Linked DNA regions of Nothobranchius furzeri. The protein of the gene in region 3 interacts with the protein of the main gene of each other region in a biochemical or structural test. Links are inferred from orthologs where the notes say so. Each region holds a gene or a part of one and is shown on either strand. Other genes may lie near its edges.

Evidence for each region.
Region 1: the proteins of arl2 (region 3) and pde6d are reported together in a solved structure, tested with the Homo sapiens proteins (2 studies listed by BioGRID and IntAct, with this or other methods). The link is inferred for Nothobranchius furzeri from reciprocal best matches to the Homo sapiens genes ARL2 and PDE6D.
Region 2: the proteins of arl2 (region 3) and unc119a1 form a complex in vitro, tested with the Homo sapiens proteins (2 studies listed by BioGRID and IntAct, with this or other methods). The link is inferred for Nothobranchius furzeri from reciprocal best matches to the Homo sapiens genes ARL2 and UNC119.

Annotation. Positions count from the first base shown.
Region 1 is NC_091756.1:55,095,462-55,101,058, forward strand, and holds the end of pde6d (retinal rod rhodopsin-sensitive cGMP 3',5'-cyclic phosphodiesterase subunit delta), read left to right. Parts: intron 1-480; coding exon 481-606; intron 607-2,295; coding exon 2,296-2,401; intron 2,402-3,679; coding exon 3,680-3,761; 3' UTR 3,762-4,626; downstream 4,627-5,597. UniProt on the Homo sapiens protein: Promotes the release of prenylated target proteins from cellular membranes. Modulates the activity of prenylated or palmitoylated Ras family members by regulating their subcellular location.
Region 2 is NC_091753.1:37,618,801-37,623,469, forward strand, and holds the end of unc119a1 (protein unc-119 homolog A), read left to right. Parts: intron 1-965; coding exon 966-1,079; intron 1,080-1,237; coding exon 1,238-1,328; intron 1,329-2,740; coding exon 2,741-2,913; intron 2,914-2,981; coding exon 2,982-3,094; 3' UTR 3,095-3,698; downstream 3,699-4,669. UniProt on the Homo sapiens protein: Involved in synaptic functions in photoreceptor cells, the signal transduction in immune cells as a Src family kinase activator, endosome recycling, the uptake of bacteria and endocytosis, protein trafficking in sensory neurons and as lipid-binding chaperone with specificity for a diverse subset of myristoylated proteins.
Region 3 is NC_091754.1:61,092,981-61,098,184, forward strand, and holds arl2 (ADP-ribosylation factor-like protein 2), read left to right. Parts: upstream 1-2,086; 5' UTR 2,087-2,214; coding exon 2,215-2,279; intron 2,280-2,538; coding exon 2,539-2,649; intron 2,650-2,796; coding exon 2,797-2,959; intron 2,960-3,314; coding exon 3,315-3,395; intron 3,396-3,461; coding exon 3,462-3,596; 3' UTR 3,597-4,105; downstream 4,106-5,204. UniProt on the Homo sapiens protein: Small GTP-binding protein which cycles between an inactive GDP-bound and an active GTP-bound form, and the rate of cycling is regulated by guanine nucleotide exchange factors (GEF) and GTPase-activating proteins (GAP).

The DNA.
Region 1 (5,597 bases), on a different chromosome or scaffold from region 3:
AATTCAACTAATCTCCCACACAACCAGTGCCTTATTTAACACCCATTTAACCAATCAACGTTCAAAAGAATTACCAAAAAGGGACACTATCTCTAATGATAAAAGTTAGGATTTGTTTTTGCCCTCCTTTTTTTTCTGCAGCTGAATTTTTTTCCCTCTATTTCCAAGTTTAACAAATCAATAATTATATTATTAGACTCTATTCACAGCTGTTCTAGATCATTTCAACCCTCAGGAGGCAGGCGTTGCAGATTTGCAACGTTAAAACCTACCTACCTGGTTACTCCACATACGTATTTCATGAGCAGTTTTTCCTTTTATCAAAACTTATTTTAAGCTCGAGAGGGTTAATAAAAAGTAAATATTCAGTAGTGATGGGTTTCACCCTGTCCTGTGGGCTCCAAAACAAATCTGATGGTTGATAATATCCAGTAGTTTGGACGTGTTGACCTAACCGTGATGTCTCCTCTCCTGTCTCAGCTCGTGTCCCAAAGAAGATCCTGAAATGCAAAGCGGTGTCCAGAGAGCTGAACTTCTCTTCTGCTGAGCAGCTGCAGAAGTTTCGGTTGGAACAGAAAGTTTTCTTCAAAGGCCAGTGTCTAGAAGGTAATGTGTGAAACACACTCTTTCAATACAATCTTTATTTTAAAAAAGCCTGACATCTAGTCCTAAAAGTAGATGGGGGGGGGGGGGGGGTCTGCCCAGTGGATGGACACTGGAAACATGTTCCACAAGAGAAGAGCACACCTGTAGTAGACCTGCATACCGACAGCTCAGGGCTTTGTTGGGAACATTTGGAACGAAAAGCTCTTTAAATGAAGTAAATTAGTTCGATGACGATGAAAAAGCTGATGGGAGCGTGTTTCGGTGCTGATCCTAACATCTCATGGGTTTACCTCCACACACCTCCTGACCCCAGAGACGAGCCTGAGCTAAGAAATGGTGTTGGGTGGTTCTGGTGTTTTTCACAGCTGCAGAGTGTTTGCTTCAGTTTTTAATCTACATTTCTGTCATTTTATGAATGAATATCTGATTTGGATAATTTTGTATTTATGTTGAGTGTTTTTTAAACCGTTTTGATGGCCTCTGATTAATTTGATCAGAAATAATCAGTAAACATTGTTAAGGGGAACTGTGCAAAGAGGAAAAAAACAGTAAATGGTCACTGTTCTGATGTCTAAATTATAAATTTAGAGAAGGTGGCCAATTTTCTTGTTTTTTGATTTTTTTACATGAGATTTGTGACGGATGAGAATCTATAATTTCTTACTTTAAAAAAGCCCAAGATCCGCTGTAGAAGTGGTCAGGGTTTTAGATTTGATCCCCTGTTCATCAGTTTGACTCTCCTGATGTAGAACCAGTAATACATAAGCAACCAGTGAGACCATCAAAAGAGCCACGATAACAAATATAGACACATATATCCCTTCTGATGAAACCAGCAGGTAAACAGGAACACACGGATGTGCTAAAATGTAAAATATCGTAGAAAGAACAAACAAGATCACGTAAAGAGTCCGCTCAGGGAACGAGGAGGTTCTCGTGTCTCTGCTCGTGTGTCTGGAGAACTGTTCCCAAGGAGCTACGGTTACTGGAACGCCCTGGAGAAAACATGGCTCTCCCATCACAACACATTCACTTTAGTCACACTTTCATTTCGAGTCTGGAGATTTCACGTCTCCTCACAAATGTTTCCTGGCCACAGTGGTCTGTAGCTCAAAGCCCTGTGGACATTACACACCACGCAGTTTCAGCTACCGATGGTGAAGAATTAAAGCCAGACTTGGCATAGACGCTAATCAGTTAAAACATTTTTATCTAGAGATTTTTGCATTTGAGATGTTTTAGATGTGTTTACATCTGCTGATTGAGACCAGGTTCTGTAGATCCAGGCGGTTTCAGAGCAGATTCCAGGAGCAACTGGCTCAGAAATGGCCCAGAACCAATCAAGTGGAGACACACACATGTCAGGAAGCTCCTGTAAATGTACTCTGAAGTTCCCACAGTGGAAACGCACCTAGTGAGGTGTTTTCTAAAACCAGACGGGGGCTTTACTTCTGCTGGCTCCCCCCTTTCAAAACAGAGAAGGCTGATTTTCAAGCAGAAGGGGCTCCTTCCGTGTCCAAATAAAAGTTTAGCAGACACCTCATTAGACACGAGCCAGTTCTAATGAAACCTACCCTGTGATTATTAAACAGTTTCACAGTAAGTATAACTAACTTCTATCATAAAAATGTCATGGAAGGTTTATTGTGGAAGCAGAGCTGAAGGGCGTGTCTGTCTGTCTCTGTGCAGAATGGTTCTTTGAGTTTGGGTTTGTAATCCCAAACTCCACCAACACGTGGCAGTCCCTGATAGAAGCTGCTCCGGAGTCCCAGATGATGCCAGCCAATGTTTTATCGTGAGTCTGCACAAACCTTTTCTTCTTTTTTTTTTGGATTCACTCGTGATTTTGTGTGTCTGTGTCCCTGAGATGGACTGGTGACCTGTCCAGGTCCCCCAGCTCTCTCACATTGATGCATGAAGGTTTTTGTCCAGAATCATTATCAGACGTAAAGTGAAACACATGAACATGCCATTTCCCCATCCTGTTTCTTTAGCAAATGTTTAGTCATTTATGTGTATATAGAGTTCATGTGGACGTTTTTGTCTATAACCCTTAATTATGAGCAGGAGATCAAACGCTTTGTGTTTATGATCAACTTTATCAGAAAAAGGCAGTTATCTGGTGTTCAGTTCGGGGGAGCTCAGGGGAGGAGGAGCGGGGATGGAAGCTATAGCCATTTAAATTCCTAACTCTGCTCTTTTGCTTGATGACACGATGCTACAGAGAGAACTTTAATGCATATTTAATATGTAAAGTTTATCTGGCGATTCAACACAATTTACAATATAAAATGAAAATATGGTGCATAAGTCCATTTATGTCAGTAATTCAACTTAAAAGGTGAAACTCAAAAATGACAGACATTTATTTGTTATAATTGTGGTGATTATGGCTTACAGCTGATGAAATCCCCACATTCACAATCTCAGACAATTAGATTATTGTGAAAAGGTTCAATATTCTAGACTGAAAGTGTCACGCCCTAATCAGCTAATGAATCCAGAACACCTGCAAATGGTTCCTGAGCCTTTAGATGGTCACTCAGTCTAGGCTGGATTACTGAAATAAATTAACTTTTGCACCATATTCTCATTTTATCAGATTCACGTGTATTGGGATATTAAAAGCCAGATGATATTTGCATTTTTCAGACAGAATTTAACTGGAAAACTCAAGCCAGATGCTTCCAAGACACAGCCACAACAGAATGAAGGCAGTAACACTGCTGCCACCTAGCAGTCAGAGAAGGAACTGCACCACATTAGAGAAATACAGGAAATGTTTACTTGTACATTCTCAATAAAAATTTATACCGTGCTTTAAAGTATCAGTTCAGTTTTATAAAACGAATTGTCACAATATCTTAGTGTATTGCCATTTTTAACATTAGTTATGGCAGCCATTTAAATTAGTTTAATTTCACTTATTTCTAATAATTTCTCAGGTCTTGCAGCCTTATTACAAGAGGAGGGACACATTTGCAGATCAGTTTAAATTCTAGTACAGACACGGGAAGAGTTATTGTTAAAGCAGCTTCATCCAGTAAAGTTCACACCTGTTCTTGTGTTGCAGTGGTAATGTCATCATAGAGACAAAGTTCTACGATAATGACCTCCATGTAAGTACTTCCAGAGTGCGGCTTTTCTACGTCTGACCCCTGGCCTGTCCTTCTACCTTCCAGTTGGCTGATATCCTGCCCGTTGTATAAATAAAATCCAGAGGTTAGCCACAGTTTGCAGCAGTCCACTCTTTCTTACTGTCCTGGAATCAGCAGGTTTGGGTCAGAACCTGCCCCCGTGCCACACTCAGTGATGTGAGCTCCGTACTCTGGATGTTCCCCTGTTTGTGTTGATTTGGAGAACAATGTCTACTCGGAGGAAGGTGGATCTCTCTCAGCGTGACTTTTCCACTGATTTCAAATCGAGACTCAAACACAGGAATCACATGACTTGTGATTTTTACCATGTTTTAGCTTCATTGTTGTGTTCTGCCCAAGGCTACATTAACTCAGGAACAGAGAGCATCAGGGAAGCCATGCCACATGAAAGGTGAAAGGTCAATACTTAGGAACTTTATAAATCTCTTCACATCTAGTTAAGTGTGTCTGCACTAGTTCAAACCATTTTACTGTTACAAGTGCACTGTTACAAATTCCATAGCTGTGTCCCATTTCAGAGGTTAAAGGACTAGCCCCCCACCCCGCATTCTGGGCTCCTACAGCGAGGACAGCACCAACCACTTCCTGTGTGCTAGCAGCCTTAATGTCAAAAGTGAACGTTCTATAATTGGAAACTTGGAAAATATGCAACTTTTTCTGTAGTTCGCCTATTTCTGTGTAATTCCAGCTCAACATTAGTGACTGTTTAAGGTCCTTACTACAGCTTTGCTTTGCACATTCTGACTTCCCATCCACCCCGCTGTATTTGATGTTTTTCTTAGCTGTTGACCTAACTGTACAAACTAGACTTGTGTTTAAATATGGCAGGCATTGTGAATTAAATTACAATGTTTTAATACCAGGAGGTGTTTGCTGTTTTCATTTTGTTGCTTTTAAATATACTTATGTTATAATCTTACGAAGCTATTCGTAGTGACAATAGTGCCAGAAAGTTTCTGATATGTAGAAAACTGCCTTGGACATTCTGATTGTGAACAGCTCTAGTCCTCACTGTAACCTGCCCTGGGGTCACATGACCTGAAGAACCTGGAGTTGGACCTGGAACACTCCTGTTGGGTCATAGGTCAGGAAGGTTTTGCTCTGGGATCAATGAAATATGGGTTGGTGTTTTGGTGCATGCTGTGTTTTCATGTTTCCTATGCAGATGTTGTGTAGTTTTAACCAGCTGTGCAGTTTTAATTACACTTGAAGGTAAAGTACAGCCCTTGACACAAGTCAGTGACAAAAGTGATTGATCCAGCACAATGTCAATAGATACATGTAAGTTAAAATGTACAGAGCCCTCTACTCAAGAAGTATGTTGAAACAAACTTGGAGAAATGGGGATTTAAAAGGAAAAAATCTCATCTTTAGGGGGATTATTTTGTCAATACAAATTATTTTGTATGACAAATATGAAAAATACTTTTAGAAAATAACTTAATCATCCAGCACTGCATCAAGTGAGCTTTTAATGAAAGTTATAAATATGCAAAAATTACTGATTTGTAGGCCAAACTTAAAAATCCCTATATTTGCAAGAATAATAATCTTAAAGTGACAGTATGTACAGTGAACATGTAATACACATTTATCTTTTTAGTTAACTTATTTATGTGAAATCAAGGTTTGGCTGGAGATTGGGAGTTAAAAATCTGATGTTTAACCATCACTGGTATTGTGTTGAATATTTTCTCTCCATTCGTTATATGCTCATTAATACCTAGTAGTGTTTATATCAAAGTGCAAAAAAAACATTAAATGTATTCCAAAATATCTAATTGCAAAACCAAATTACTAGGATTGTTTTATACGTGTAAGTCTTAATCTAAG
Region 2 (4,669 bases), on a different chromosome or scaffold from region 3:
GACACCAGGCAGGAGGCTAAGAGGAAGACCAAAAAGCAGATTTATGGATGTGTGAAAGAGGACATGAAGTTAATTGATGTGAAGGTAGAGAATGTAGAAGATACAATCATGTCACACCGGTCCTATCGGCCCTTCATTGGCTCCCAGTCAGGTACCAAATAGATTTTTAAATGTAGGTTTTTTTGTTTTTGTTTTTTTAATGCCAAAATGGCCTTGTCCCGTGTTACCTGTCAGAGTTACTGACTTTGCATGTGCCTGTCTCTTTGGTCACCTGAACGTTGACTGCTCGTGCTTCCCCAGATGGGACACAAAAGCAGAGGAGACAGAGCCTCTTCGGTGATTGGTCCCAGGTTGTGGAACAAGCTGCCTACAAATGTAAAACAGGCTGACTCTTACTTGTTCAAATCTCCCCTGAAGACTCGGTTGGTTTTTGCTGTACTATCACGTCACTGTATTATTTCTGTCTTCAATACATGTGCTCATTATGCAGCAATTTTGTTCACGTTGTTTTTTATTAGTGCCTTATAAATAAATTGGATTTGGATACATGGACACAGATGTTGAGAGCCTTCATAGAGGACAAGCCCAAAGAAGAGAGCCTTTTTCATCCAAATGATTTTGTTACAAAAGGCTTAAAATATGTTTATTATACATTAAGTTTAGTTAAATTCAAACTTATTCTAGTTCAAAAGTCAGTATTGACTGCCTGGTAGCCCATCATGCAGCTCAGTACAGGTGAAGTAGCTCTTAACTTCACAAAAGTTGGTGACTTCTGCTTTAAGTAGATTTTTCTGATCGTCCTGGTTTTTTTTCTTTTGTGTGTAAAATTTTTGCAACTACAAAAAAGCTCAAACTTTCCGTAACAGAGTGTAGATGAAATGATTGCTAGTTTCCTGTGAAATCAGGAAAATATGCTTTTTGCTTCTGATCGCATAAGGTTGTGTGTGTGTTTTTAATTTTTTTAGATTACCTTTGCTCTCCAGAAGAAAATGTTCACATGATCGACTTCACCAGATTTAAAATCCGTGACATGGAAACGGGGACGGTCCTGTTTGAGATCACCAAGCCTCCAACAGCAGGTCAGCTCCAAACCACAGAGAGACATGCGTTGTTTGCGGAGACTAAAGCTGCAAAATATTTGTGTGGAAAATATTTGAAAGCCTGTATTTCAAAGGCATATACAATGAACTTGTTTCTTATAGATGGAAAAAGAGCTTATTATGAATTCCTCCTGCAGGATGCCTAAAGCAATGTGACCCAAACACCGGGCGTTTTGTCCGATACCAGTTCACACCAGCGTTCCTGCAGCTTCGACAGGTTGGAGCCACGTAAGTCAAAAGTGTGTGTGTGTGTGTGTGTGTGTGTGTGTGTGTGTGTGTGTGTGTGTGTGTGTGTGTGTGTGTGTGTGTGTGTGTGTGTGTGTGTGTGTGTGTGTGTGTGTGTATGTGTGTGTGTGTGTGTATGTGTGTGTGTGTTAAGCAAACAGAGGAGAGCAGAGAGCATGGTGTAAACTTAACCCAACTGTTCCTGTCACTGCTGCTGCAGTTTCTGCTGTTCATTTATAGTGATAACAGCTAAAATACATCAATAACCACTATAAACATCTAAACAGGCACTAGCCTTAATCTGCCACACACAAGTGCTTGAATGAAACTTTTATGTTAAATTTTCATGATTCACAACTAATTTGATTCAAAGCTGACTCGAACCTCACAGTCAAGTCTGCAGCGTGCAACAAACCTTGACTCTTAATTTAATGCATCACCATGATAATGTGTTGTGATGGGTTAGGGTTATTTTTTAGATGGGTGAAGAGTGGAGCTCCACCCACTTTGTGTAACACTAGCTATAAGGTGTCGTCTACGGGGGAAAAAGATGCCAAAATATTGTGAGAAGTTTGAACAATGCTTATTTGCAAGTAAATGACAGTGTGCCCCAGGGCAACTGTAGATACAGTGTGGATCATTACCACCAGGGTGTGAATGTGTGTGTGAATGGAAGAATGATACACTTTAGTGTAAAGCGCTTTGGAGTCCTCTGACTTTGAAAGGTGCTATACAAGTGCGGGTCATTTATAATTTATCACTAAAAACTGTATTTTTTTTTCAGTAATTCCACATATTGACTAGATCTCTGAACAACATTTGCTTTATCTTTACAAGCAATAACAAAAAAGATAGAAAATAGTGAAAAAAAGGAATTTCAAAAATCCACTCTGATTTTAATTTCAAGATCTCTGAACTTCAAGCCGTTCAATTATTTTTTGTTGTTGTTGTTTTTGTTGTTGTTTAAAGGGGCAACTTTTTCATATTTTTAAATCATTTTCTTGAACCAGTATGTGCTAAAATGACCCTTTGGTTAATGAAATGCTACCCAGCCCCTATCGTCCCCCTGTGGCCAGAATATTCCACTTGCAACTTCAGACTGGCGGCCTCTCTGCTGGGACTTAGAAAAGATAGAGCTGACAAACCTGGCACTGCAATCTGATTTCAGTGCATTTCCTGTATGTTGTAGATCATGAACACAGCTGATTTGTTTAATTTAGTGATGACTCACTCCTGTAGACACTAATGAAGGCTGAGGAGATGTTTCAGCTGTCAGATTAATGTGTTAAAAAGACAAACGCACAACGAGGTTTTGCTTTCAGTTCTACAAACGGACACTAGGGGGGCTAAAAACATGCCAAAAGTGCCTAGTTCCCCTTTAAAACATTTATTATCATCGCTGTGCGCTATTGCAGGGTGGAGTTCACAGTCGGAGACGCCCCCATCAACAACTTCCGCATGATAGAGAGACACTACTTCCGAGACAAGTTGCTAAAGAGTTTTGACTTTGAGTTTGGCTTCTGCATGCCCAGCAGCAAGAACACATGCGAGCACATTTATGAGTTCCCCACCCTGTCTGAGGAAATCAGTGAGTATAAAGATAAGAAATGTCTCAGCACACACAAGCACAGGATTCAGTGTGTTCTCTTTTCTCAGTGCGTGAGATGATACAACACCCCTACGAGACGCAATCCGACAGCTTCTACTTTGTGGACAACAAGCTGGTGATGCACAACAAAGCCGATTATTCCTACTCTGGAGGGCCGTAGGAACACCACTCCAGTTAGATCCAAGACATTTTCCTACGACTTCAGGACCAGAAACACATGGACTGATGGACACGTCGTGACTGGCAGTAGTTTATCCCGTCTCCTGCTGCAGGAACAGTCACTTCTGCCAGTTTTATCACCAGTTTGCACTAGTGAGCGTGTGGGCAGCCAATACATGCAGTGTCTGAACAAACTGTTGGTTTATACGTCAGCTCCATTTGGTCATCATTGTTTTATTTCATTTGAAGTCTGAATTCAGACGTGTTTTAGATTTTATAGTTTGGATAGAAATCTGATTACATTTTTACTTAGAAGTGCACATTTCTGAGCGATCTCGTCTGACATCCGAAGAATGTGAACATAGTGTCCGTGGGTGCATTGTTTGTTTTCATGTTTCCATGTTCATCAGGGGTGTTTTTGAACAAATAGCCTTTTTGAAGCGTCAGAAATAAATGTTAGCCAAAGATCAGGCGACTGTTTAAGGTTTCTGTCCAACTCAACACTGTGTAACCTACGATTCTGAGAAATGTTTTAATGATCAAAATATTAAAACATGTAAACTTTTGTGATAAATTTCACTAATGCAATAAAAATTGGGATTTTTTTTGCGGACATTTAATTTTTTTACACATAAATAAGGGATTAGAAACGACAGCCATTGGGATGTTGCTGTCCTTTATAACGTTTTTTATTAAAAAAAAAAAGGCAATTTAACATTTCCTCCTCCTAGGCAACAAAGAAAACTTCACATAGTGTCTTTGCTGCCATCTCCTGTAACAACAGTTGTACTACACTGTTTGCCCAGTCAATGTCAAATCACAGAAAATGGTTTGTTTGATCAAATTCGTAAATGAGAGACAACTTTTGAATCATTTAAAGCTGCCATCACCCTTTATAGGGCGTTTAATTAAAGGGATACTATTCAACTTTTTTATGTTTTTCAATCATTTTCTTGAACCAGTATGTGCTGAAATGCCCCCCCCCCCCCCCCTCTGGCCAGAATACACAGAATGCCGCATTTGCAACTTCAGAGCTGACATACCTGACACTGCAGTCTGTTTCCTGCATGTTTTACATCATGAACACAGCTGATTTGTTTCATTTAGCAATCATCCTGTACATACATGCAGTGTCATCATAATATCATTTGAATCATTCCTGTAGAAACTAATGAAAGTTGAGGAGACATTTCAGCTGTTTGGTTAAGGTGTTACAGTAAAAAGATGAACACACAGTGAAAAGATAAGTTTTGCTTTTGGTTCTACTAAATGGACACTAGGGGGTGCTAGAAACAAGCCAAAGCTGCCTAGTTTCCCTTTAAACAACTGATAAAATAGTTTCTCTGGGTGCGTAAGTTAAAAAACTAAAGGCTCAAGCTCAGAAACCTTGAGAATTAGCATAAAGTTGTGTGTTGTTCATACGATCGTTTCATAAAAATACTCATTGGTACTTTGAAAATCTAAGAAATAGAACAGCAATTTCAGCAGGTTTTTTTTTTCATTTACTCCCTTCAGAAAAGGAGCTGATACAGTTACAAACGAGAAAGTGAATCCTTTACATTCTTGAAATTATTTT
Region 3 (5,204 bases):
TATCCACAAGCACGTGAGGACGTGTTTCAGCTGCTAACAGGCACCAGAATTAAAATTGAAAATTAAACAAGTATGAACGCTGACGCGATATCTTCAGCCATCGTCACCCCCGAGTTACACATGTAGGGAAATCTGTCCGACTTAAACGCCGGCTTTCAGCCACTCCCCCTGCTGCTTCCGTCTGCTCTCGTCTGTTTTCCAGGCGAGGTGCAGCTCAATTCGAACACGGCCTATATGTCGATGGTTTGCAGGTGGAAAATGAGGTCAAAGGTTAACATCAATTTCCTGTTTTGGTTAAAGTTTTTACTATTTATATGATAATTTACTGATTATTTTTGTTTTGTATGTTAAATATTACCACATCCACACGTTACATTAAAATTAAAGTGTGAAAAAAAAATCTAATATTTACTTTGGGGTGCCATGACTAATCCAGGGGTAGCTATAGCGCCCCCTAGCGCCCCCTGGCGCCGCCACTGCAACCAAGATGAGTCCAAAGTCACTGATGTGGAAGTCCAAGTCCTTAACTTTGATTTTTCAAGTCATAATCAAGTCATCTGTCCAACTTGAATTTAATGATGATGATAATAAATAAATTCCAGAATTAAAGCTTCTTAAAGTTTCATTTATTTGCTCAAACAAGCAGAAAGTGAAGTTGATTATAAACAAAGAGCTGCTGCATTCAGCAGTAAATCAAACCCAGAACCAAGAACGATTCATGATTTTTGTCCATGTCGTGTCACTTTTGTGCTAAAATATCAAATATGTTCAAGTCATCATCACGTCAACAGATGCAAGTCGATTCAAGTCGCAAGTCATTGGCATTCAAGTCCAAGTCAAGTTGTAAGTCTTTATAGATTTTATCAAGTCAAGTCGGAAGTTATTAAAATAATGACTCGAGTCTTACTCAAGTCCAAGTCATGTGACTCGAGTCCACACCTCTGTTTACTGGTGGAGGATCAGCTGATCTGAGATGCTATACGATGATAAACAGGCTCAATCAGCCTTTCAATAATCAGAATCACTGTGAGGTTTAATGTCCAGGCAGCTCAGGAGGATCTAGTTTTGGTGCAGGAGCCAATCAGTCAACACTTATAGGAAAACACACACACACACACACACACACACACACACAGCGTATGAACATCTGGTATGACAAAGATGAATGTGTGTCAAGGTTCAAGTCAATCATTTTCATAGTGCAGTACACTTTGTTGTTGTCCTTGTTAGGGGATGAAGTTGCTGCTCTGGCTCATTCAGCAGCCCAGCTGGAGATCTAAATGTTTGTGCGGCGTGGCTTTTGCTCTAATGGACAAACAGCCAGCTCCCAGAGAAGCTCCAACAGCACAAGTCCAGGGTGAGATGGGTCAGCCACAATCTTTTGTTCCTGCTTTATGCTTCTGCAGGTGAACAGGTCGTGCAGAGAGGGCCGGTTGCAGCCAGTCACCAATACATGAACCACCTGTTCACCTTAAAGAGAACAGCTTCTATTTTCCAGCCTGTGCGTTTGTGACCTGCAGTAATGCGAGAAGTCAGCAGACTTACACATGGGTGTATTTGTCAATCACTTCAATAAGATTTCCAGATACTTTTTTTTTGGTAAAAGCATGAGAAATTGGGGGTGTGGCATGAGAGTAAACAGTAAACAAATTCATGTTATTCTGAATTTGATGGACCAAATACTCATTTTACTTGTAAAAATATGGTCTACTTTTTTCTGCTGTGTAGAATATTTTAAGTATTTCATTTCCGTTGTATGCATGTTTTTACTGCTGGATAATTATCTGTGATGATTCTGAAATGTTGTTGAAAATTTGTACTTCTCCTGTCCAATATGGCGTCGGCTATGAACGAAAAACATATTTAATTTGTCTTATGAACGTGTTTTATACATAGACATATATGTATGTAGTTTTACAGGCTTGTGAATTTTAATTTAGAACTAATTAAGTGCACTTTTGACTTTGTAATAAAGATAAATTTTGTATTAAAAAGTTAAACCACACGCTAAAACACAAATTGGCCAATCATACAGCTTTGAGAATCTCCAACAACCAATCAAAATCCATCAAATCAAACCATCAGTAGCGAGGGGGTGGGACAAGCAATCTGTCGCATCATGGCTCATCTTTGTGAAAGCTAACCTCTCAGAGCTGTAGCCTTTAACTTATTACTAATATTAATATATTTTTGTTTGAACCTACAAGCATCGTTATGGGTTTGCTGACGATTTTGAAGAAGATGAAGCAGAAGGAGCGCGAGATGCGGCTGCTCATGTTGTATCTTTTATTTTTTATAACGGATTAGCCTAGCTAGAAACAAGGTTAGCATCTCAGAATAAAACTTCATCTGCGTTGAATAATAGCAACAAAAGTCTCTTGTACCAGTGTGTCGCTTTATAACCGAGACAAGGAACAGCCGCTTGGCTCCGTAACGCTTTTATTTGCCCTACTTTAACCTGTTAAGTCCCGTTGTGTGTGCTATGCTAGGTTTGTTGTGGTCAGGTGTGTTGTGTTTTCTTTGACCTGTCGCGTGCAGAGGTCTGGACAACGCAGGGAAGACCACCATCCTGAAGAAGTTTAACGGAGAAGATGTCAGCACCATCTCGCCTACACTGGGCTTTAACATCAAAACTCTGGAGCACAGGGGGTAAGTTCGGCGCTGCGCAGGTCTCGCGCGCGCACGCAACACAAAAGGAACGAATTAATGCATCATCTGCTGCTTCCGCGTGACCATTCCACGCCAAGTTATTCCAATCCAGGAAACAAACGGTTTGTTGCACTTTGTGTTTTTTAGGTTTAAGTTGAACATCTGGGACGTAGGTGGTCAGAAGTCTCTACGCTCCTACTGGAGGAACTACTTCGAGAGCACCGACGGGCTGGTGTGGGTGGTGGACAGCGCTGATCGACTCCGACTGGGCGACTGCAGGCAGGAGCTCAGTGCTCTGCTGCTGGAGGAGGTCAAACTGCATCCACTACTACAGATTCAGGCCATTTTTCTGGTTAAAAGTGACATTGGTGACTCGTTGTTGCAGAGAAACAGTGATAAAGACATAAAATCAAAGATCCTTAGAGGCAGATAAGTGATCCTGGTCCTTGGTGGCTGCTTTTACATAAAGAACTTGAAGCATTGAGGTATTCTAACCATTAAATCAGGAACAGGTGCTTCAGATACTTGCAGAAACTACATTGTGTAGACCTACAGTAGTGTGAAATACGGACAAAAGCGAGAAGTGCCTCCACAAAATGATGCTCTTTTTTCCAGTTTAGAGCTGGAGTCTTTGTTTACATCCTGCGTGGTTGTTGACTCTGCAGAGGTTAGCTGGTGCTACGCTGCTGGTGTTTGCCAACAAGCAGGACTTACCAGGAGCATTGTCTAAAGAAGCTATTAGAGAGGTAAGCCCAACTCTCACGTGTTCATAATTAGAAAGCACAACAATCTCATGAGATGTTCTTCTACAGGCGCTGGCACTGGACGACATCAAGAGTCACCACTGGTGTATTATTGGCTGCAGCGCTGTGACGGGGGACAACTTGTTAGCAGGAGTGGACTGGTTAACGGATGATATCGCAGCGAGGATCTTCACTGCTGATTAAGGGTCGGCGGTAACCAAACTTCTGTAAAAACCTGTTTTTTTTTTTCAGCTGATTTGTGCTTCATGATTTATTTTATTAAACTTGATATCTAGGTTTGACTGGTTTATTTGTAGTGTATTAAAATTCCACAAGTCATGAAACTAGCCTTTCTGAAATTGCCTTGGGATGCTAGACCTGGGAGCTAGAACCAGTTGAGTTTTCAGGAAGTTGTTCAGCTTCGTTGCTACAAACGGGTGCCCATCATATTTGTGTTGGTACTCAGGAGAACCCGTGGTTGCTGCTTGGTCTTCACTTTTAATGCACTTAATTCTTAACTCACAATAGGAACAAAACAAACGCGTTGATGCAACATTTTGATTTTGACTGAAAACAAGAAAATGTACATATTGCCAGCTTAACTTAAAACCTAATTTTCAAATAACATGACTGAATTTTCTGAATGTAAAACACAATGTAAATCGCTGCTTATGTGATAAAATCAAATAAAAATTTAAAGCCCTTAATTACCATTTCAGAGCACAGAAGTTTTTTTAAATGGCATAAACACCGTCTTTATTTCTACTCATCGTCCTCATCATGGGCCTGGCTGCGTCCGGCTTCATTGACTTCCCGAACAACTTTCTGATGTTCTCTGCTGTTCGCATGTTTATCAAACGCTGGATGGTTTAAGTTTTTAGTGCCTATGTAAAAGGCGCCGCTGGTCCGCCAGGGTGAGATTTTCACGGCATAATCTGCACCGAATCTGTTAAGTTTGAAGCCAGCTGACCTCCTGCAGCCACTTCCACAAATATTTTTTTGCGGTTCCGACTCAGTCTGAAGTTTTTTTGGAGGCGGAGGAACACCAAAATAATTAATGGAGCTTGCTTCTTGGACATCTTTAATATGCTCCAGAAATGTTTCTTCTTCCAGTCTTAGGTGCACAAATGTGTGCTGAAGCATCCCCCCCCCCGGTACGCATTATTTATTCTGACAGCGCATGCACACCTGAGGATGTGCACACCTGGCAACAAACTACTTAAGTACATAGAAGCTGACATTAGTCAGCATTTTTAGCTGGAGTTGTTTGAGCTCTACTGACACCTAATGGACAAAAATAGGAAAGCAGACTATTCTCCATGTTTTTTTTAAGTTTATTTAAAAATCAGGAAAATGTGAAAAACCTCAAAGCTGTATTTATAAAGCGTCTTCCTGTCAGGAAGCCCAAGGCGCTTAATTAGGTGCACCAGAAATGTTAACCACGATAAATAAAAGCAATCCAAATGGAGCAAATAAAGTAAACCTTAACGTAGAAAACAAGGTAAAACACATTCAGGGAATGCTTAATCTAGAACAAGACCACAACCCAACAGCAAACGTTTGTAGGAGATCAGGAGTACTTCTGCATCCGCTGAGCCTGGAGGAGGAGGAGACTAGTTAGGATGAGAAGAACATCTCAGATCTGGGAAATGTTAAATCACTAGATCAGAAGATACCAATCAGTCACCAAACATCAGACTGGGGCGGTAACACCTGCTCATCACGTCCATTTAGATCATGTTAAGTTTAACGGAGACATGAAACTTACCAAAAGCATTCTGGGTATCTGACCACATCACAGCTGCTGAGCCT